4 linked regions of the Drosophila melanogaster genome follow. The protein of the gene in region 3 purifies or fractionates together with the protein of the main gene of each other region. This does not show direct contact. Each region holds a gene or a part of one and is shown on either strand. Other genes may lie near its edges. The genes, in order: CTCF, ProtA, Nlp and mod.

What was found.
Region 1: the proteins of Nlp (region 3) and CTCF purify together in Drosophila melanogaster (affinity purification with western blotting, with the first as the bait; one study listed by BioGRID). This does not show direct contact.
Region 2: the proteins of Nlp (region 3) and ProtA purify together in Drosophila melanogaster (affinity purification with western blotting; 2 studies listed by BioGRID, with this or other methods). This does not show direct contact.
Region 4: the proteins of Nlp (region 3) and mod purify together in Drosophila melanogaster (affinity purification with western blotting, with the first as the bait; one study listed by BioGRID). This does not show direct contact.

What each region holds. Positions count from the first base shown.
Region 1 is NT_037436.4:7,353,064-7,358,667, reverse strand, and holds CTCF (CTCF), read left to right. Parts: upstream 1-1,954; 5' UTR 1,955-2,087; exon of another isoform or gene 2,088-2,208; 5' UTR 2,209-2,210; coding exon 2,211-2,601; exon of another isoform or gene 2,602-2,662; coding exon 2,663-4,626; intron 4,627-4,688; coding exon 4,689-4,790; 3' UTR 4,791-5,090; downstream 5,091-5,604. Other genes in the region: pst (pastrel), read left to right, coding at 53-222, 293-1,130.
Region 2 is NT_033779.5:14,878,548-14,883,349, reverse strand, and holds ProtA (protamine A), read left to right. Parts: upstream 1-1,697; 5' UTR 1,698-1,839; intron 1,840-3,710; 5' UTR 3,711-3,731; coding exon 3,732-4,112; intron 4,113-4,161; coding exon 4,162-4,221; 3' UTR 4,222-4,300; downstream 4,301-4,802. Other genes in the region: ProtB (protamine B), read left to right, coding at 663-1,043, 1,093-1,146.
Region 3 is NT_033777.3:30,002,941-30,010,809, forward strand, and holds Nlp (nucleoplasmin), read left to right. Parts: upstream 1-1,844; 5' UTR 1,845-2,093; coding exon 2,094-2,115; intron 2,116-2,347; coding exon 2,348-2,481; intron 2,482-3,093; exon of another isoform or gene 3,094-3,116; coding exon of another isoform or gene 3,117-3,326; intron 3,327-3,396; coding exon of another isoform or gene 3,397-3,579; intron 3,580-3,636; coding exon of another isoform or gene 3,637-3,782; intron 3,783-3,844; coding exon of another isoform or gene 3,845-4,147; intron 4,148-4,207; coding exon of another isoform or gene 4,208-4,517; intron 4,518-4,591; coding exon of another isoform or gene 4,592-4,932; intron 4,933-4,992; coding exon of another isoform or gene 4,993-5,292; intron 5,293-6,073; coding exon of another isoform or gene 6,074-6,089; exon of another isoform or gene 6,090-6,249; intron 6,250-6,737; coding exon 6,738-7,040; 3' UTR 7,041-7,412; downstream 7,413-7,869. Other genes in the region: tace, read left to right, coding at 1-70, 133-238, 312-474, 540-582; Nph (nucleophosmin), read right to left, coding at 830-964, 1,050-1,217, 1,364-1,509, 1,642-1,663; CG7912 (uncharacterized protein), read right to left, coding at 3,117-3,326, 3,397-3,579, 3,637-3,782, 3,845-4,147, 4,208-4,517, 4,592-4,932, 4,993-5,292, 6,074-6,089; CG7920 (uncharacterized protein), read right to left, coding at 7,723-7,869. UniProt on the Drosophila melanogaster protein: Binds to core histones and functions in the ATP-facilitated assembly of approximately regularly spaced nucleosomal arrays. May participate in parallel with other histone-binding proteins such as NAP-1.
Region 4 is NT_033777.3:32,050,254-32,055,495, forward strand, and holds mod (modulo), read left to right. Parts: upstream 1-1,806; 5' UTR 1,807-1,923; intron 1,924-2,066; 5' UTR 2,067-2,143; intron 2,144-2,227; 5' UTR 2,228-2,481; coding exon 2,482-2,724; intron 2,725-2,992; coding exon 2,993-3,302; intron 3,303-3,369; coding exon 3,370-4,104; intron 4,105-4,170; coding exon 4,171-4,511; 3' UTR 4,512-4,721; downstream 4,722-5,242. Other genes in the region: krz (kurtz), read right to left, coding at 1,016-1,586. UniProt on the Drosophila melanogaster protein: Its capacity to bind DNA and protein(s), and its differential expression during development suggest a role in the regulation of gene expression during Drosophila development.

The sequences.
Region 1 (5,604 bases), on a different chromosome or scaffold from region 3:
GATTAGATTAGGCTAGATAGATTAAACTTATGAAATTTATGATCTTCCACAGAAAGCAAAAGACGGTGACGAAATAGTTGCGATGGATGTTTTGCAATTGTCCGCTTCGTTGGTGCTGCTCACGCACAGCGTCTACAACTTTAAATTGGCTTCGACCATAATTAATGAGACAAGCAATGCTAATATTGCCGACTATCGTAAAAACCTTTCTAATAGGCAGCGGTAAAAAACGTTCAATGAGATACATTCTGTCGTAAACAAGAGTTTCTACTTGTATTTTTTTTACCATCAGGCGAACCTTTGACAAGGCTGCCAAGGAGACCGTTCGGATGCAAGGCAACACTCGCGGCAAACTGGACATTATACGCAACGTAAACGAAATTTCGCCACAAGAGTTTAATGATCTTTTTAAGATCAACAAAAACTTGAATCAGGAGGGCGTGCGATACTCATTCGCACCCGATGGCAAAGGATTTTTACTAAATGGCGATGTGCAGACGACGGGTGCGGAATTGCGAGCTAGTGTACAACATAACCAAGGAGGGAATGTCCTAGGCAAAGTTAGTCAGCCCATTCCCGGTAGCCATGCGGGTTCTGGTCGCCTTCAACTGGGCGGCGTTAATCAGGTTTCCCGTCTAATCGGACCGCTGCCCACATCCCATCCTCGACAGGAACCCAGTACCTATGCCGCCGGCGTGTTCGCCTTGGAGCTAAGCTCTGTGTTGGTGGGCGGTGTTGTTTTCGTACTGGAGAAATACGGAAAAATCATATTTGAGCACGTGATCAATGCTGAAAGTTTTGAGAGCCTAATCAACATCATGGCCAATAAGCTTGATCCAAAAGTCTTTGACCATATAATGCTATTGACCAGAGCCTTCATGGACACCATGCTGGAAGACCTCACCTCGGTGCTAAAGTTCTTTATATCAACGGAATCCGTTCTTTACCGCATTTTGTTGTACATTTTACGGAACTTCGAGGACGTGCAACTTTCGGTTATTGCGGATCACACTTGTGAGATCGTAGAAGCCGTAAGGGTGTACTTCATGTCCCTGAATCCAAATGCGTTCCCGGGTCTCCTTCAGAAGTGTCCGAAATGTATCGGCCACTTCAGCGTTTGTCCCTTGTAAGTGTTTAACGAAATGGTTCGTTTAACATTAGAATTCAAGGGCCATCAGCATGTCATAATTGATGCCCAATTGTTTAACCACAAAGAAACGTTAGCTAGTTCCGCAAATAATCAATGGGATAACTTACTTAATATGAGCACAAATTGACAAAGATGAAATTGTTTTAGCATTTAAATAAAGATTTTATTAACCCTGTTGAAATAATTGTAATAAAAGGAGAATTTTGAACCGGAATGGTTCTGATTTCCGGTTTTCGAACACAGAATATGTGAATCATTCATTGTGTAAAGGGGATTTTTTTTAATCTTTAAGAGTAATTCCTAAATTTACAATCTGATGTCATCTATACTATGGTATAATAGCAACAGCCATACCACCAAATCATTGAATGCCTTAGAATATAAGTCATAAATTCAAGTATCCCATAAGAACAACCCCAATTCTGGTGACAATAACAAATCCAGCCTGCCCTAATGTAACCATTAACATCTGCTGCCGAATCCGTTATTCCCACCAAAGGGTCAAAACCGCTAACGCAGCTCAAGTTCTCGGCTGATCAGTACCCATGAGCGATCCATCCACTCAAGAGGGCACCCAATCCAACAGACATAAACATCCGCAGGGGCTTTCGCGACATCAAAACCGCTTACGCAGCCCAAATCCTTGGCTTATCCAGTATCCAAAAGAATACAGATTATATTTTTTATCTAATAAATTACCGTGGATTCGTTATTATATATTTTCTGTTATCAAGAATTAAAGATAGTTTATATAGAGATGACAAGATACGAAACCAATCGAACTATCGATAGCTGGCGGTACTGATGCTACATGTCGCCATCTTTTATTAGAAATGGGCAGCTGTTTCATGTGGACGCAAATTAAATTGTAGATTTAACAACAATAACGACAACCGGCGTCCCTTTCAACATATTTTTTATTGGCAACCAAGTGTCGGTAGGTGAATTGAATCAAGCGGGATTACAATTGGTCGTTGCGAGAAATCGATAAGCGCCCTCTTCGGGATCCCGGTCATCCGCTGTGGGTCGCCACCAAAACAAATCCAATTTGTCCATAGGAATGCCAAGGAGGACAAAAAAGGACGAGGACCCCGAGGATCTGCAGACCTTCCTCAACAATTTCCATAAGGAGATCGAAGGCAACAGCGATGAGAAGGTGGTAAACACGATTTTGGAGGCCATCAGCGCCGAGGCCATCGACTTGGATGAAAATGGTGCGGAGGCTGGTGGATCGAAACCGATGGAGGAGGCGGAGGCTGATTTGGATCATGCGGAGGAAGCGGAGGAGGAGGAGGAGGACGACGAGGATAAGTATTTCATAGATGACGAGGGCAACTGCTATATCAAGACTACGCCCAAGAAGCAAAAGGAGCTACAAAAGAAGCTCAAACAGGCGGCTGCCAAGCCGGGGAAAGCTACACGTTCCGTGGTCAGTACAGCCACCAATAAATGTGAGTTACCCTTTGCCATATATGTGCGTGCATTTGTATCACTTGCTCGACTCTTTTTAAGCCATCAATTTGCGGCCAGCCAAATCGACACCGAAAGCGACTACTTCGAAGCCTCCCCCAGAACCCAAGGCAATTAGCGTTCGACCAGCCCGAGCAGCTGCAGCCAAGGCGAAGCAATCGGCGATGCCACCGCCACCGGCATTAGTGGTCAAAGTACCGGCACCCAGGGGCAGGCCTAGAAAGAACCCTGTCATACCGAAGCCTGAACCCATGGACTTGGAGCGGGAGCTCGAGGAGCTGGTAGATGAGCCCGACATCAGTTCAATGGTGACAGAATTGTCGGACTATACCGTAGACGAAGCTGCCGTAGAGGCAGCAACAGCTACGCTGACGCCAAACGAGGCTGAGGTCTACGAATTTGAGGACAATGCGACGACAGAGGATGAGAATGCCGACAAGAAGGACGTAGACTTTGTGCTAAGCAACAAGGAGGTGAAGCTGAAGACAGCTTCTTCTACCAGCCAGAATTCGAATGCATCGGGACATAAGTACTCATGCCCACACTGCCCGTATACGGCGAGCAAGAAGTTTCTGATCACGCGCCACTCACGAAGTCATGACGTCGAGCCATCCTTCAAGTGCTCCATCTGCGAGAGGTCCTTTCGATCGAACGTGGGCCTGCAAAACCACATAAACACGCACATGGGCAATAAGCCGCACAAGTGCAAGCTCTGCGAAAGCGCCTTCACCACCAGCGGCGAGCTGGTCCGTCACACTCGCTACAAGCACACTAAGGAAAAACCGCACAAGTGCACGGAGTGCACATACGCCAGCGTGGAACTGACCAAACTGCGCCGCCACATGACCTGCCATACGGGCGAGAGACCATATCAATGTCCGCACTGCACCTACGCATCGCAGGACATGTTCAAGCTGAAGCGACACATGGTTATCCACACCGGCGAGAAGAAGTACCAATGCGACATCTGCAAGTCGCGATTTACGCAATCTAACTCACTAAAGGCCCACAAGCTCATCCACAGCGTGGTCGACAAGCCCGTCTTTCAGTGCAACTACTGCCCGACGACTTGCGGTCGGAAGGCTGACCTGCGCGTTCACATTAAACACATGCACACCTCTGATGTGCCAATGACATGCCGGCGCTGTGGCCAGCAGCTGCCCGATCGCTATCAATACAAGCTGCACGTTAAGTCACACGAGGGCGAAAAGTGTTACAGCTGCAAGCTGTGCAGCTACGCTTCGGTCACCCAACGCCATTTGGCCTCACACATGCTCATCCACCTGGACGAAAAGCCGTTCCATTGCGATCAGTGCCCGCAGGCCTTCCGGCAGCGTCAATTGCTGCGCCGCCATATGAATCTCGTGCACAACGAAGAGTATCAGCCACCAGAACCGCGCGAGAAACTGCACAAGTGTCCGAGTTGTCCGCGGGAGTTTACCCACAAGGGTAATCTAATGAGACACATGGAGACTCACGATGATTCGGCGAATGCTCGCGAAAAGCGGCGTCGCCTTAAATTGGGCCGCAATGTGCGGCTGCAGAAAGATGGCACTGTCATCACGTTGATCAAGGATCAGTATGTGGATATGGACCGGGACCAGGAGGAAAACGAAGAGGATGACAACCCAGAGAGCTATGACTTGGCTGAAATCGAGCCGGAGAACTCGGAGGCTGAAGACGCCGATGATGATGTGGAAACCATAGTCAGTGATCCGATCCGTCAGAGAATCAAGCCAGCACCTATCATTATCAACAAACAGGCCAGGCTTGCCGCCTCCGAAAAGCAGCCGATGATCATCAATCAACGCCTCCGAAGTCAACGGGGCACCAAGACGTTCCACATCAAGGAGGAGCCGGACAACTCGGACTTCACCGTGGAATGGCAAGGGGATGATGGCGAGGTAATGGTCGTAGAGCTGGTTAATGGCGACGAGGAGGTGTTGGTCAAGCACGAACCGAGCGCCAACTCCAAGATCAGTGCCAAAAACTGCTTTGGTTTCGAGGTTAGTTGCAAAAACTTTAGCTGGCATTTGTTCCATTACTCAAAAATTTGGTTTTCATGCAGGACGACGATGATTATGAGGAGTATGGCGATGGGGAAAACGAGGTCGATGGCGCTTCCCAGGAGTTTCTGCAGCTGATGGATATGATTGAGCAGGACTCTTAGTCTCCTGAAAACAAAAGCTAATGGATAAGTAATTATGACTAACTTATGTACATACCAAGCATACAATAACGTATTTCTACGTTACATTGTTTTCTATTTAAATACACATTTAAAACAGTTAGGAAACCTATTTTTACTAGGTTAAGAAATGGATATTAAAAATGTATTCTTTCTAAATGAATGTATAATTCTGGATAAGCAGTTAACATGCCGATATGGCGACTATTTGTAAATGATCCCCGACACTTAAACTTTAGTTGACAACTTGGCATAAATATTTATTTAAATACATTTACATATATTTCAATGTTTTCATTAGTAGTATATAGTATATGGGCAAAATGTTAGGTGCGTTTGCGTTTAGCTGCATCTGGGCGTGCACTGTAAATTCTCGGCTATTAGTTGTCGTTTCTACCGTAAAATGTTCGCATAGTTTATAGTTTTCCATTTCCACTTCAGCAATCTGGTTAATTTTCTTGTTATTTTTCCGGTTTCTCTTGCCGTTTATTTCTTTTTGTTTCTTTCATGTGTATAACTACAATAAAAATATATATATTTTTATATATAATATATGTATATATTTTTTAGGTGGTGCAATGTGCAAAAACCTGCCGTGCAGTGCATCATTATCATTATTTCAATATATATAGTTGCGTTCATTTGTGTTGATTTTATAGTGTCTGCATAAAACATTAACAATTTGTCGTTAATAGTACATATGTATGTATGTATACGAATCGCATTTGTATAACAATTAAAATGGAACAACGTCGATAAAGGAAGTGCACATTGAGTTCCGAGTGAGTTAGATTTG
Region 2 (4,802 bases), on a different chromosome or scaffold from region 3:
GTTGCAAGTCAAAGCGGAAATTCGGCGGCCACGCCTTTTTGGCGGCCGGCGTGTTTGTCTCGATGTCGGATGGATGTGGCCCTCCTATCTGGCTTTAAACTAATGCCGGGGCAGTCTGTCGACAGGCAACCACCTTGCCACGCCCCACGCCTTGTAATGACGTTATTTACATGCTGCAACAACACTGGCAGCAAGCGCGGGCAATTAAATAAATCATAGCGGTTCACGCGGTTCGGCCGAAAGAAAGATCCAGTTAATCTAAAGAGAAACTCTTAGTTCTTTCTTTCGTTGTCAGAGTGAAATTGTAAATAAATTACACGTCCTGATTGATCAACTTTTTGTTCGTTACAAAACAACGTCGGGAATCAGATTGCAACTGTTATTAATTATGGGCTTTGTTGCAGTTGCAACCGCTTGTCTCCTGCTGTTCAGGTCTTCATCCTGGTCGGTAGGGCTTGGGCTTTACTTTTGGTTTGAGACTCGGATTGCTCACTGAATAAGTGACTTCTCTAGGACGCAACTCTGCGGCTTCTGGGGCCAACACTCACATGCGGGGGGAACATACTCCATCACAGTTGATGGCTGACATCGTACACAACAAATAAATCCCATATAAAACTTCCCTTTCCTTTTCTTTTCAGAGTTTGTAAAAATTTTCTACGATGAGTTCAAATAATGTAAATGAGTGCAAGAGCCTGTGGAATGGCATAATTTCCATTTCTGCAAAAGATGAAAGTCCTAAAGGTCTCACTGAAATGTGTAATCATCCAAAGAGGAGAGCACCGCCCAAATGTAAGCCAATGAAGTCCTGTGCAAAGCCGCGCCGAAAGGCAGCCTGTGCCAAGGCGACTCGGCCCAAGGTCAAGTGTGCACCGAGTCAGAAGTGCAGCAAGCAGGGACCTGTCACTAACAACGCCTATTTGAATTTCGTGCGTTTCTTCCGAAAGAAGCACTGTGACTTGAAGCCGCAGGAATTAATTGCAGAGGCCGCTAAAGCGTGGGCCGAGCTCCCGGAGCATAGAAAGGATAGATACCGCCGGATGGTACGTATTTTTTTTTTATATTATGAAGACTATTAATTTGTCCTTTCAGGCATGCAAGGTCACCACCAGTGAACGCCACAAGCGCCGACGGATTTGCAAGTAATACTGAGATAGGAAAAAGTCTGATGCAGTTAAGTCCAGGCATATATTTTCATTGATTTGATACCATTCGATGAATTTAGAAATAAAAAAAATTAAAAACCGGGTTTCATTTTTTTTACGATTCTAGGATGTTGGAATAGCGCGAATGGGTATTTGTGGTTGTTCCAGGTGCCCGGCGAAATTCAATTTATTATTCCACTATATGAGCTTTCTAATGAGCTGTGATCCAAAGAAATGAAACGGCTGAGTGGTAAATGGGCACGGCAATGGTGAATTCGAAGATATGGATAGGCTTCTGCTTCAAGCTTTTCCACAGTTCTCTGACCAGGCGTCTGTTGTGAGACAATCGAAATACCCAAAAATTGTTTCACATAATTTATGCCACCTATGAGGAAAACTTGCCACACTGCCACTGGCAAAGGGAAACATGGGGGCGTAACCACCTAACAGAAGGATGTTTCCCAGGATGCGTATCCGCCGGCGTCGTTTCGATCAAATCTAACTTTATTCCATATAGTTGGCGTAGGTTTTGCCGTATACCCCTTATACCGGGCAGTCGGTTTTTTTAAACATTAGTTGTAACTTGGTACACAAACAGTTCACAAGCAAAATTTTTCCAAAAGTCTTATTTTTATGCTCTTCTTAAAAATTAGTTGTGACAAAAATTTGGTTTAAAAAAAAAAACTTTATAAAGGTAAGTGAAATAAAACGAATTACAATTTATTTTTACAGAACAACATACCATACAAATTATTTTAAACGAAGCGCATAATTATTTTTTATTGGTATGCCAATCAGTTTCGATAAACTTCATTTGAAAAAATTTTACTTTCAAAAATTTCTTTTAAAGAAGCTTTTGTGAAATTCAGTTCTGTAAATGCATTGTGATGCGATTAAATTAATGTCGACTGTCGACGTGGCGTGTTTGCCTCGATATCGGATGGATGTGGCCCTCCTATCTGGCTTTAAACTAATGCCGGGGGTAGTCTGTCGACAGGCAACCACCTTGCCACGCCCCACGCCTTGTAATGACGTCATTTACATGCTGCAACAACACTGGCAGCAAGCGCGGGCAATTAAATAAATCATAGCGGTTCACGCGGTTCGGCCGAAAGAAAGATCGAGTTAATGTGAAGAGAAACTCTTAGTTCTTTCTTTCGTTGTCAGAGTGAAATTGTAAATAAATTACACGTCCTGATTGATCAACTTTTTGCTCGTTGACAACCATAAAAGGGCAGTAGACAGGGGGCACACTGTCATTGTGGCCGAAAATGTCCAGGCAGCCGCTCGTAAACATAAATCCAAGTGACGCTAATTGTTTGTTGCAATTACTGCTGCAGTTGTTGCCACCGTTCAGTTACGTGTGCAGCCAAATGGGGCAATGAGTGGGGTTTTGGGCTAAGGGGTGGTGAGTAGGGACTTGTGCTTGCATGCAAATTTTGTTGCATCTGCAGTTGCTGCTGCTTGTGCTGCTGCTTGTGCTGCTGTTGACGCTGCAGCAACGGCAAACAATTACTCAAACATTGTTGCATCTGCTGCTGATGTTGCTGGCACTCATCTCGTTGTGCGTGCTAAATGGCAACTACTCTGGCGGCTAATGATAATCACTCGACGCCCTCAGCTCCTGTCGGTTCCTACTTAGTTTTACCTGCCCTCGTTGGCTTTTAAATCTAGTTTAGCACTTAATCAATCAAGGCTTCCTTTCATTGAAGAAAAATAGCTTTGAAGATAACTTCCTCCCGGCGAAGCCCCAATAATATCCATTCAACTCGTGCTGTTTTTTTTTATATTGATCCACAAGATAATTTTAAGTTCGAAGAGCCAAAAGGAGCATATTGGGCCTTCAATGAAGCTCTCTAGCTAAAGCGAATTTTGTATTCCAACTGGGTGTTCAGTGGGGTTTGATAGACAATGCAGGCAGTGTGGTGCGATGGCACAGCTGGTCACAAATTGTAATTTGTACACATCCATAACGATTTCAAATTAATATTTCGAATTAATATTTGTCAAGCCCAAAATATCAGCTGTGGGTGGCAAATAAATTGCTCGGATTTGAGGAAACTTCAGTAATCTTGAATTATACAGATATTGGTTTAGCTTTTTTATCCTTGGAGAGTCCTTCTATTAATTATTTACCACTGCCCATTTGCTGTCGGGTACTAATTTTCATTACAAACTACTGTAGATTTCCATGACAATTATATAACCAGTTCTTAATACTCATTGGTCTTGGCTAAGAACCGCCACTTAGGCTCCCACACATGGTGACTAAACGTCGGTTGTCGGGAGGCAGCTTGCAACTGTTATTAATTATGGGCTTTGTTGCAGTTGCAACCGCTTGTCTCCTGCTGTTCAGATCTTCATCCTGGTCGGTAGGGCTTGGGCTTTACTTCTGGTTTGAGACTCGGGTTGCTCACTGATTAAGTGACTTCTCTAGGACGCAACTCTGCGGCTTCTGGGGCCAACACTCACATGCGGGGGGAACATACTCCATCACAGTTGATGGCTGACATCGTACACAACAAATAAATCCCATATAAAACTTCCCTTTCCTTTTCTTTTCAGAGTTTGTAAAAATTTTCTACGATGAGTTCAAATAATGTAAATGAGTGCAAGAGCCTGTGGAATGGCATAATTTCCATTTCTGCAAAAGATGAAAGTCCTAAAGGTCTCACTGAAATGTGTAATCATCCAATAAGGAGAGCACCTCAAAAATGTAAGCCAATGAAGTCCTGTGCAAAGCCGCGCCGAAAGGCAGCCTGTGCCAAGGCGACTCGGCCCAAGGTCAAGTGTGCACCGAGGCAGAAGTGCAGCAAGCAGGGACCTGTCACTAACAACGCCTATTTGAATTTTGTGCGTTCCTTCCGAAAGAAGCACTGTAACTTGAAACCGCGGGAATTAATTGCAAAGGCCGCTAAAGCGTGGGCCAGGCTCTCGGAGAATAGAAAGGATCGATACCGCCGGATGGTACGTATATTTTTTATGTTATGAAGACTATTCATTGGTGTCCTTTCAGGCATGCAAGGTCACCACCAGTGAACGCCACAAGCGCCGACGGATTTGCCAGCAATACTGAGATAGGAAAAAGTCTGATGCAGTTAAGTCCAGGCATATCCTTTCCTAACATTCGATGAATTTAGAAATAAAAACCAATTAAAAATCGTGTACTTTTTATTACGATTCTAGGATGTTGGAATAGCGCGAATGGGTATTTGTGGTTGTTTCCAGGTGCCCGTCGAATTTCAATTTATTATTCCACTATATGAGCTTTTGCATGAATAGATAATGAGCTGTGATCCGAGGAAATGGAACGGGAAAACTGCTAAGGCTGAGCGGTAAATGGGCACGGCATTGGGAATTCGAAGGTATAGGAGGAGTTGCGTGTGCTTCAAGCTTTCCAGAGTTCTCTGACCCGTCGTCTGTTCTGAGACAGCTAAATTGAATTATTAATAACACGCAGTGCCCGCAATGTTATGGATGCCATAAACCCGTTTCTGCAACTGTTCTGTGAGTAAATGTAATGCACATTGTGGTTTTGGGAAGACAACCTTGGGACAGTTGGCAAAAATAGCAAACGAAAAGGCGAATGGAACGGAACGGACTAATCGCAGCACTTACGACCATAATTTGTCAATTTTCGAAACAATTCCCAAGGCT
Region 3 (7,869 bases):
TTGCTTCCCCGTAGAGCCACCTGATGTCCTACCCGATGGCACACCCTGCATCACAGGATTCTGCAACAAGGTATGCTTGTGGATTGACTCCTTACATTGCCCATAATTATGCTAAGCTGCGATTTCTTTCAGGGCGTATGCGAAAAGACCATACAGGATGTGGTGGAGCGCTTCTGGGACATCATCGAGGAGATAAATGTGGCCAAGACCTTGAGGTTTCTCAAGGACAACATTGTCAGTAAGTATTGCAATCTTAAATATTACATTCTGAAGATCCCCACTAAGCCACACTTGCTCAATCATATTTTCAGTGGCCGTTGTCCTCGTCACTGCAGTCTTTTGGATTCCCATCAGTTGCGTCATATCTTACTTCGACCGCAAGAAGCTGCGCCATGAAATGAAGCTGATTGAGTGGAGCCAGAAACTGGACCTTATACATCCCAGTGACGAGAGGCGTCGAGTGATTCACATACGGTAGGCGCTCAGCCTCCTACTTTATAATTATATACTGATAACCAACCACCAATCTATACTTTCAGAGTGCCACGCCAGAAGATTTCGGTGGCCCGAGCCTGTAATTAGCACAAAAACCCAGTGGGTTCCTTTTGTTTTAATCTTCCGTGAGCATTCTTCTTAAAACTGCCACAATTCGTTTACATTAAGTGACATATTTGAACATACGCAACACAGAATGAATAAAATTCCATATAATATAGACCAAAAACAAAAGGTCATTATAATTGGATGGTTTCTTTACATTATTAAAGTCGTATTGAAGTTTTTATTTTTTTCGGATCATTTAGTTAGCTTACTGGAGTGTAATGTGTTTCTACTTCTTCTTATTACTCTTGCCGTTCGTCTGAGGAGCTGCTTCTTCGTCGAATTCCAGTTCGCTATCCTCCTCCTCGTCCGAATACTCCTCGTAAATCTGACCGTCGTCAAACTCGCCAAAGTTCATCTCGACCTGAGGGTACGGCAATTTGTTAGGAACAGGAACCCAAAGTAGATAGAAAGATAGATAGATGGATGGATGGATGGATGGAGCTCACCTTGCCGCATACGTGTACGGGTCCACTTCCCTGCACCAGTTTGAAGGTCACTGATCCATTGGGGAACTCGACATTTGGTCTTAAGCTACGGGTCTCGCCGACCTTCAACACGGCAATGGGGATCTTCAAGGTTTTCTTCTCGCCATCGTCGTTTATGTTCGTCTCCGCCTGGAAGCGAAACATTAAATTTGTGTGCATTTTATCACTGTATAATTTCCGAGTTTTTCGCGAAATATGATATGAGTTAAATCAGCCATGTCGCCTTTAAATTTACGACCTGCGACGCGGGGCAGATTGCCGGTATCGAGGCTCACCTGTACAACGTTGAATTCGCCGGTCTTCGCTTCTGGGCCGAGGGAAATCTGTTTGATGATGAGCTTGTGCGAGTGGACGATGTACTCCTCGGGTACATCTGGGACCTCGAACTGTGCGATGGCCTCCTTCTCGCTGAGTGTGACACCTGGAAGTGGACGAACGGCGAGAAGGGTTGGATTTCCGACTGCTTTTTGCCGGCTGGAGGGGAGCTGCTCGCAGCGTGGCTATGGGATGGCTATTGGAGCGCTCTTCCAGCCCAAATGGCAATGGTACTCACCATAAAACGACTCGGACTCCATTTGCAGGCCTTGGAACACAGATGTACAGTCAATTAATAAAAGAACCTTTTGTACTCTACACGTGCCCGTAAAACGGCGATGGCTGCAGTTGTGTGAAGCGTTGAGCGGTGCTGTTATCGAAGCGCAGGACTATCGATATTATTCGTTTAATTTGTTGGGAACTTCGCAAGTACTGGTAATGAAGACTTGAAATATTTTTTAATATATTTTACTGTCGCGTTAGCTTGCAACAAACGAATATAGATTGTCACATTCGATTGGACACTACAAGTGGCAGCCCTGCGATTTTGATTCCCAGTCTGACAATCATCGATTTCGGCACCTTACGTCGGCCTGGCAACCCTGCGACAGCTACCATTTTGCAAAAGATTTTGCTCAACACGTGTTCGCCGCTGGTTTTGTGTGGAATTAATATTAAATATTACCTACCATGGCTGAGGAATCATTCTACGGTAATTACAATTTAGCAGTTGCACTCTATAGGCAGCGAAAGGGGGCAAAAGTGGACGCGTAGAAGGCGTATTTACCACCGAAAAGGCGGAGTGTCTGCGAAGCTTGCCGGTGTTTTTGCTCTAAGATTTGCCGCTGGCCAATTTGTGTGTGTCTAGCCTCAAACCCTCGGATTTGAGTGCGCGAATAAGATACGAATCAGAAAGTATAATGGCGACTATATCCCCTCCGCAGGAGTCACTTTGACCGCCGAGAGCGACAGCGTCACGTGGGATGTGGACGAGGACTACGCACGCGGCCAGAAGCTGGTCATCAAACAGATCCTCTTGGGCGCCGAGGCCAAGGAGAACGAGTTCAACGTGGTCGAGGTGAGTACTCCATTCATTGTGTATGCGAAACGGGGCATTCAGTGCATGTAGTAAATCCCATAAATTGTGTATGCGCGCGCCGGTTGGTGTCCTCTTCTTTTTTTCTTTTTCATTTTTTTTTTCGTTGCATTTTTCCGGCCGGCGGGGCAGGGACCGGTTTCCATTTTTCCCCCAGACCAGAACAACCTCGAACTTTTCGCTCGTTGTGGTGGGCTAGGGTAATTGTGTCTGTACATCTGCAAACGGCCGCCGAGTAACCAGCCCCGGACTTTCGATTGCCATGGTACATTACCAATGGGATGTGCTAGGTACATAAATTCTTTTTAGTACAAGGTACTTGCAAAGAAGTACTAGGTACTTTACAACTGTCCCAGTAAATCCAGGGACTTAGGTGTTTTGTATATTGTTAGGAACTTTCGAGAATAACTATCAAAGCACATCTTCTTTAAAGAATATAATTTTTATTATAATAAATATTTTTAATTTGTGCTTTAAAATTTCTCATTAGTTGTACCTAACCATCATTATACCTTAACCATCAAGATCCTCATAGTTTAAGTACCCCACCTTTCCGAACCAAATTCATTGGCGCAACTGTACGCAGATACACATACGGCAAGACAAAAGAGCACTCTTTATTGACTCAAGTCAACGGCGATACACGAATCGGCTGCCTCGGCATCCGCAATTGTTTGCATTAGGTCTGGAAAGCTTTTCGAGAACTTGAACATACTGCGCAGCTTCCTGTCCATCCGGCAAATCACTCCCGCCGCCGGAATACTCCAATTCCAGCAGATCATGTCGCACTTCAGCAGGGCGAGATCTTCGCGCAGTGACTTGAGGTTCTTCGCGAGGAATAGAGAAGAGGTTTCGGGTCAAAGGTCATAGTTTGCAGCAAAGAAAGCTGGCACTCACCAAAGCCACTGTCGTATCAATTGAGGCAATCTCGTGTCCCTTAATGACCACCAGTGTGGTGGGGGCACTTCCCTCGCTGTTTCTTTGCGTCACGTGCGACACAAGCGACATTTTCAAGTACTCGGCTGCCGCGTAGTCCACGCTGCCCTTGAGATCGGCCATGGTCACCTCAATGCCGTTAAACTAGGTTGATTGCCAATAGAAATTATTAGGCCCTATATATGCAGTGTGTCAGCTCACCTTCTCGGTTGTCAAGAAAAACTGCGGCTTCATGCTCTTGTAGAGCAGGAAAAGCGCATTGAAGACGATGCCCACCACCATTCCGTACTCCAGGGTCCAGAAGACACAGGTCAGCACGGTAACCAGGAAAGGCAGCATATCGCGCTCTGTAAGATAACCAGACTTACTTTAACTTCACGTGGGATCCCAAATGCCATGTAGCACTCACTTTTAGCCCGCCAAATCTCGCCAATGGTCTCGTACTCCACCATAAAGAACATGGCTGCAATGATGATGGCTGCCAGGGTCGCCTTCGGAATGTAGGCAAATGTGGTGGTGAGGAAGGCCAGGGTCATGAGGACGAGAGCGCCGGTAACCGCACCACCCAGCGGGGTTTTTACTCCACTGGCGTTGTTGATGGCTGTCCTTGTAAAGGATCCAGTGATAGGCATGGAGGAGAAGAAGCTGCTGAGGATGTTGCTGACGCCCAGGGCAATCATCTCCTGCGATGCGTCCACTATCTTGCCCTTGGCTGAAAGTAGAAGAAGCTCAAGTTATGGAATATGAACTGAAGTTATTCCTCCGCACTCACAGAAGGCCTTGGCCACAGCTATGCTCTCCAATATGGACAACAGTGGTATGGACACCAGGGCAGTGCCTACGTTCGATACCATGCCACCGAAGCTAATGGTTTCTCCAGTCTCTGGATCCTCCGTGTGAAAAGGGGGAAGCTTGAAAGGCGGCAGGCCTGGAGTGATGCTGCCGCTGACTAGAAAGGGCAGTTTGCCATCGTTCTTCAGAAGATAGCACAGGAGTATGCCAATTAACACGGCCACAGCATTGCGGGCCAGTGAAATATACTTCCACACGCTTTTGAAGCCGAAAGTTAGGTTTTTCAGTTGCTGAAATTATTTAAACATTTATAGTCTCGCTAATCAAACCTTCTAATTAAGCAATTTAATTAAGCATTACCCACCCTCATGAGCAGCAGGAGCACAAGTGTGCAGCAGCCGAGGATGGCATCATTTCGGCGTGTTTGTGTTATGTGACCGAAGAAGTATATCCAGCTGTTAAGGAACCCACTGGCACTACTGCTAATGCCAAAGAGGCTATTAACCTGGCCGGTGGCAATGGTTAGGGCGGCTGCCATCGTAAAACCCGTGGTCACCGGCACCGATATGAACCGCATGAGCACTCCGAGATTGAGTAAACCCATTAGGGTGATGATGCAGCCGGACAGAAAGCATATTAGCACCGCATACGCTGGGTTGCCGTCCACATATGGCTGCACCATAAGCGCCATGATGGCCGTAGGGCCTGTGGAAGAACGATTTGAATTACTTAGCGCACCACCTCACCAGAGGCTCCCCAACTCACCCACTGTGATATCCTTACAAGTTCCAAGCAGTATGTACACAAATCCACCCATAAAAGCGGAGTAGAGCCCATAGGCTGGTGGCAGATTGGCCACAGCTCCGTAGGCTATGGCCTGTGGCACGGCTGTGAGGCCCACGGTGAGACCCGCCACCACATCCATGGCCAGGAAGTTCAACTGGTACTTGGGCAGCCAATCGGTGACGGGCAGGTATCTGTGGACGGAGCGCATGCTGCAGCAGCTCCTCGCCTTTGAGCTCACGGCACCGCAAACGTTCGGCAGACGCTCCCGGTAGAGATCATCTGGAAAGCACAAGTGGGCTATTTAGTAGGTGTGCCTCCTGGGGCGCCTTGAAATCTTGATATGGCCATAGTTAAGTGGTTTATTTGATTGAAAAACGCTCTTTTATGTACACCCATTCGCAATCTCTGCACATGATCTGAAGTGCCTCGATGATTTCCTGCGGTTCGGTGGTCTTGTGACTTCTGGAAAAATACCAAAGATGTCTACAAGCTGATAGACAAGTTCATCCAGCAGGCAGCACAATGCCTTGATGTTAGCACTTTGAACCCTCTGTTTTGGTGTCTCATATTCTAGATAATTAGTGAGCCGCATATAGTATCCTTGGCTAGTTTGTATCTTATGCATTTATATTATTCAACGGGGGAAATTTACGTTTTGATCCCTTCTTGCTTGATGGACACGTTCATCCCCAGGAAGCCAGCTTGTCACTGATAACTCATCTTTCGCAGCTCGTAATAGCACTGTCATCTTGTGGATTCTCTTGTCTAATTACGGACTCATTACCGGGTATTTACCATAAATAATGTAATGTCTCCGAAGACCTTTGTTTAGTTTCCTTTAATTGTAGTTTATCTCATCAAGTTTTAGGTAAACTAGTTCTTTATTTATCACAGCACAATCAAACAGTGTTTGTTCCTTCACTAATTATAGCCCCATTGAGTAATAGTTTGTGTTTTCTGATATTCAGTTGGTTGGTTTTAATAGAAGGGGAAGGAGTAGTTTCCTTCGTATCACACTGCTTTCACTTATCCTCTTGAGGGAACGCGCTTCTCCACTTACCTTCGTTATCGCGCATGTCGACAAGATCTTTGGAGCACTTTACGATCGGCCAATACTAGTTTTGATTCGAATTACACGTTGCGGATGATTAATTAGCAGTCACTTGTTAGATTCGCGCTTGCTGGACTCCGGTTCAGATGAGCCTGGCTACAGTTTAAAGGGAACGAACCGATCCACTCCAGTGTGGGCAGACGAGTGGTCAGGCGGCCGCCAGTCGACGGTGTTATTACCGAAAGCGACTGTGCGAATATGTGAGTGCGTAGGCAGTTATCATCGGACAGTTCAGTTAGTTTTGGGGAAGGTGTTCTGTTCGGCCGACAACGATAAGAGATAGAGACGAAGACGAAGACTGCAGAGCGATTAAGTGGGCCAGTCGTGATGAACTTCGCGCTATCTGCTCGCTGGATCCGAAATTGGTGTAATCTGGGAATTCAACAACTATCTTCGGCCACTTGAAAGGCATATGACGGGGATCTATATGGGTCAATCTTGGCCAGCAATCTTATGCAGTTAAAAGCAGGAAAAGATTGATGTTTCAATTGATGTTCCTACCTAAGTGAACAATAGATAACATTCGAAACGTGTCTAACTTCAATTTATTTATAAGCCACTTGAAAAGTCAATGAATCTATCTAATTTGCGAATCTTCGCCTTGTTTACGCAGGTGAACACACCCAAGGACTCCGTGCAAATTCCCATCGCCGTATTGAAGGCCGGAGAGACCCGCGCCGTCAATCCCGACGTGGAGTTCTACGAGTCGAAGGTGACATTCAAGCTGATCAAGGGCAGCGGACCCGTCTACATCCACGGGCACAACATCAAGGACGATGTGGAGGTGGTCGACATGGAGGAGGATGACGAGGAGGATGATGTCGCCGAGGACGAGGAGGACGAGCACCCAAAGAAGCGCGCCAAGATCGAGAACGCCGCCGATGGTAAAAATGCCAAGAACAACAAGAAGAAGTAAACTGCTGACCGCCAATCATCCATCGAGGTTTAAGCTATGAACGTGTAGATTTTAAAGCAAAAACAGTTTTAGGCCCTATAATACAATACGATGCATACTGAGAATACAATCTAGTTCCTTTTGAACAGCTCCTTTTACATTCAATTCAAAGACAACGTTGTGTGCTCGGTCGTGTTTCCCCAGCGAATGGTCTGTCGCTCAGCCAGGAGTTCCGCACCCGGAAGCGGGAGCGGATCGGACTGTGACTGATCCGGACACTAATCGAACACACAGATTTGTATATATATTAAAGTATAACTAAAGCTAAGCCGGACTTCCTGTACGCGCCCCTTCATATTTGCAGTATGAAAATAAACTTGTCGGAATACAAACAATATTATTGCATTTTACTAAAGTGGGAGTTCGTTTTAAACGCTCTCTTACACTGATGAACTAAGTGGCAACTATAAATACTTATCTTCCCCGTTTAGCAAACATTCTTGAAACCAGGCATTTAATCAATTTCAGTTTTATTTCTCCCATCAATTCGTTACTCATCAATTGAAATTTCAGATTTGGTAATGCTAAAGGGCTATCATGATTGCAGTTCTATGAAGTGGATCAAAGCGATATCGGGAATGCCTTCAAAGATTGCGGGTCGCTGCTAGTAAATAGTGATCTCTAGTGCTTCTTCAGTGCTTGCTTAGTTCGGCGAGGGCATAACCTTGATGCGCTCGAAGGCTTGTTTCTCCAGGGTCTCGCGGTGCTTGGGATCGGCGATCTGGATGAGTTCGTACATCCTCTGGCGCACGTTCTTGCCGAACAGCGAGGCGATTCCATGCTCCGTGAC
Region 4 (5,242 bases), 2.0 Mb from region 3:
GAGGGGAAGCAGAGAAGCACTGAGAAATCGTTTCTTCCAACTGTACAAATTCCAACATTGTTGTTTTTATTCTTAAATTGAATTTGGGCTTATATACAGAAAAAATAAATATTAAGTTCTTGTTATAAACTCTTTTACCCAACAACACGCCAATTGCTGCTATTTTATTAATCTCTGTTTATAACAGTAAACAATTTGGCTGCTGAATAATAATAAAATTCCAACAGAAACTATAAAAGCACAAAAATGTGTAAACAAAATAGGGCAATAGGTAATAATATTTATTGAACAGAGAATGTATTAAGGGGGTGCCACGGGCACATAATATATATGCGAGTGGAGCTCGGCGATCGTACGAAAATATGAAAAATTTAAAATTTACAGAAACCAAAAACCTTTCTACTAATAAAATAAAGCACAAATTCTTTAAACCTTTTTTTAATTATTAAATACAGATTAGAAACTAAACAAATAAACATTTTGAAACTATGTAAGATCTTTGCTGTTGGCACACAAATCGTCAGACCGCCAACTGCGGCGCCTGGTTAAGGCGAACAACAGCATTAACTGCGCTGCAACTTCGGTTGATTCAAATTCCAATTAGAAGTGTCGAATTTCAATTAGGTGAACGCTGCGTCATCAGCCCGACGTAGTTGGATTGATTAACCCTGTGTTCCCAACCGCGTGATGCACGCGCTAACTTACACAAAACCACACATATAAGAAATTTACAGTCTAACTTCTATAGAAAAGAACAAAGCTAGTTTTGCTACTGTAACCATATTCTTAATAAATTATTTTATTCTCAGAAACAATAGTACCCGCAATTTAACTGCTCTAAGGTAAAAGAAAAATTTGTAAAGAAAAAAGAAAAATTTGTAAATTTGTAAATTTAATGTATTGCAACATATATAATAAACACGGTATGTGCCACACTGCGAAATATCAATGATTTTGACTTTGACTGACCACCGTATACGGACACACCCACAAGATCAGACCCACAAAGACTCACCCACAAAGGCCTTCAGCTCGTAGTCTACTCCGCAAGACTTGCCCACATCTCCAGGAGCCGGCTGCAAGGACACAGAGGCTGGGCAATAGGGCGGAACCTCAAAATAAAACGGATGGGCGTTCGGCCCCAGCTTTTTAATTAACCTTTCCTGAAGCCGGGTCATCGGGCGGTCCAGCTGCATGGGCGGATAGATCTGCTCATGCGCCAGATACAGGTCCTTACGGAACGTTAATCCCAAAACATCTAGGTCTTCACGTCCGTACCGAAAGGCGGCAAGCACCTGGCCAAAAACCTTACGGTCCTTTACGTACTCTGGATCAATGAAGACAACACCGTCAATGGGATCCACGTGCGTGACATGGTCGACGAAGTCCCGTTTGCCAAGGTAAACTGTTATCTTGCCGTTGGAGGAGCTCTTCTTAAACACCCGAGTCGCCTGGCGTCTGGAGCTGGCATCTCCACCAGTCTCGTCGCCTGCGCTTCCGCCCCCAGTGCTCCCGGCAGCTGTTACATTGGTGCTGGAGCCATTGCTCACATTTGCTCCTCCACTTCCTCCACCACCACCGTTCATTATGTTATTTGGCGGTTATGCTTGTTATTCTGCTTTTCTGCTGTTCCTGCTTAATTGGAACTCCGTTAAATAAATATATGTGTGCGTTGCGGGACTTGTGCTGCAATTTAATTTTTTATGTGTATACTTGTTCCGCCATTTACCAGCACTGCTTGACAGTCATTGGAAAAATACCAGGGAATATTACATACTAACAAATTATGTACTTCTCTGGTATTTCAATTCAGTGCGAACAAACCGATATATGTTTGGTCGTACCATAATCGCAGCCTATAATTAATATTTATTTTGCATTTTTGGCACCTATTTATATTTCCTAAGTGTGCCCTGGCCCATAGTAAGTGACTTTTAATAATTTTTCTTTCAATACCATTAACAATTGCTTGAATTAACATTAAGTTTCCTACTAAGATAAAATGCAACTGCAGGTTGACTTGGCTTTTTAATGAAATATAATATATATATTATAAATTCCTTTAGAAACAGATGATTCATAGCTGATGATTGAGGAAACTTACCATTTGGAATGTATAAACACATGTAAAATCAGACCGTTGGTAAATATCTAATCATAGATTGTATCCTAAGTCTTAAATAAATACTTTATATAAACTGTTTAATATTTATTTTATTTTTTAAAGGCTTTTATTATTTTTATATGTATACATGTGCATGAACGGACTTTAAACCATATTTAGTAGTGGAATAGAGCTATAAAAATGAGATTGAAGTCTCTAAAATACTTTATTTAATCAGCCTTAGCACCGATAGAGCACAACGGTCACACTGTTCTGTCCCTCTTTTCCACGTGCATTTTATTGAACGAAACCACGCGTTGTTCAGTCCAAACTTGACTTTGCTAATTTTGCCCAGAAAACCTCTAAAAGCTGTCAAAATGGCCCAAAAGAAAGCCGTCACCGTCAAAGGAAAAAAAGCTACGAATGGAGAGGAAAAGCCTTTGGCCAAACGGGTAACCAAGTCCACAAAGGTACAGGAAGAGGAGACAGTAGTCCCCCAATCGCCTTCCAAAAAATCCAGAAAACAGCCTGTTAAAGAAGTGCCGCAGTTCAGTGAAGAGGACGAGTCTGATGTGGAGGAGCAAAATGACGAGCAGCCAGGGGACGACAGCGACTTTGAGGTAAGCTATAAAAAAAACGTGGTCTTCTGAATGGATATGGCTAACATTACATGCATAGTATGCACGTATATATAGATCTGCATGGATAAGAATCCATTTTACGTTTTCTTTGCCACGTGGTTGTAAAGATTTTATAATTATAAGACGAGTGCACATAACCCACGATCCTCTGGTTTTATACCGACTCGGTTCATATATCGATAAAAAAAAAATTGTCTTTATTGGTGCTCTCCCATCAGCGGTTATAAGAAAATTGTCTACTTTTCAGACCGAAGAGGCAGCGGGCTTAATTGACGACGAGGCTGAGGAAGATGAAGAGTACAATAGTGACGATGAGGAAGATGATGATGACGATGAGTTGGAGCCTGGTGAGGTTTCCAAAAGTGAAGGCGCGGATGAGGTAGATGAATCCGATGATGATGAAGAAGCGCCTGTAGAGAAGCCAGTTTCCAAGAAATCAGAAAAAGCCAACTCTGAAAAGTCCGAAGAAAATAGAGGAATTCCAAAAGTAAAGGTTGGCAAGATTCCGCTGGGAACGCCAAAAAACCAGATCGTTTTTGTCACAAACCTACCAAACGGTAAAGTAACTGGTTTATTATTTCATTTTTCAAGTATATTTAAACTTAGTATATTTGTTCCACATAGAGTATCTCCACAAGGACTTGGTCGCATTGTTCGCCAAGTTCGGACGACTTTCCGCTTTGCAGCGTTTCACTAATTTGAATGGCAATAAATCAGTTCTCATTGCCTTTGATACGTCAACTGGAGCAGAAGCTGTTCTGCAGGCTAAGCCTAAAGCGTTAACCCTTGGAGACAATGTTTTGTCTGTGTCCCAACCGAGAAATAAGGAAGAGAACAACGAACGCACGGTGGTGGTTGGCCTGATTGGACCTAATATTACCAAGGACGACTTAAAAACCTTTTTTGAGAAGGTAGCTCCCGTGGAGGCGGTGACTATATCCAGTAACCGCCTCATGCCCAGAGCTTTTGTACGTTTGGCGTCGGTCGATGACATACCGAAGGCTCTTAAACTGCATAGCACTGAGCTGTTTTCTCGCTTTATAACGGTTCGTCGGATCTCACAAGAATCGATTTCACGTACCAGTGAACTTACCTTGGTTGTCGAAAATGTGGGCAAACACGAGTCTTACAGCTCCGACGCTCTAGAAAAGATATTCAAAAAATTTGGTGATGTTGAAGAAATCGACGTTGTGTGCAGCAAGGCAGTTTTAGCTTTTGTCACGTTCAAGCAGTCGGATGCCGCCACGAAGGCTTTAGCACAACTCGACGGAAAGACTGTTAATAAGTTTGAGTGGAAGCTTCACCGATTCGAACGCAGCACCTCGGGGAGGGCCATTCTTGTGACGAACTTGACTTCAGGTGGGTTACCCGTTTCGTAAAATTGTTTAAAATTATTAATCATTATCATGTAAAATTTCGTTGTAGATGCTACTGAAGCCGACCTGCGGAAAGTGTTTAACGATAGCGGCGAAATCGAAAGCATCATAATGTTGGGCCAAAAAGCGGTAGTAAAGTTCAAGGACGATGAGGGTTTCTGCAAATCTTTCTTGGCTAATGAAAGCATTGTAAACAACGCCCCTATATTTATTGAGCCAAACTCTCTGCTGAAGCATAGATTGTTAAAGAAACGCTTAGCTATTGGTCAGACCCGCGCCCCGCGGAAGTTCCAAAAGGACACTAAGCCAAACTTTGGTAAAAAACCATTTAACAAGCGCCCGGCACAAGAGAATGGTGGTAAATCGTTTGTTAAAAGGGCAAGATTTTAGAACTTGAACACTACAAGAATTAGCTTTAAGTTGCGTAGTACCATAAATACGGCCACAGCCCCGATAATTCCATACAACTTGATGTTATGGATTTAGTTGATAAGAGATACTCCATTAAATTTTTACCGGAGAAATGCTAGCCGTATTCAAGCAGATGTCGATTTTTATAAGCATCGGACATGGAACTAAATAAAAGTAAATAAAAACCCCGATAAGAATTTTGTATTCAACGTCTTGGTTTTGGGTAACTAGATACTTCAAAAAACGATTTACTGCTTATATGAACGTATACAGGTGCGATCTCCAGTATATTCCGTTTTTTTTTTTGTGTTTGAATTTTATCTCGCTTCGGTACTCTCGTATATAGGTTCCTATCCCTTCCAAATGGCCCAATGTACAGCTGCGCTTGTTCAAAAAGCGAGAACTATATGAATTTCCTTTGTATAATTAATTTATTAGTAATACATTTTTGTAGTATTTTATAATTTTTTGAATTTTTTTGTTCATACTCAGAAATCTAATATGGTTGGCTAACATATGTATAAACTTGTAAATGTTTGTATGTATGTTTATATTTTTTGTAAATGCCATTTAGATTAGTACTTTAAATTTCAGTAATTGTTGGTTCAAAAAATTAGTTTATCCTTTTTATGTGTAAATATGTATAAAAAATCATCACTTGGATAAAAGCAACGTATAGGGAGTTTAGCCAACCTAAAAAAAACCCTTTC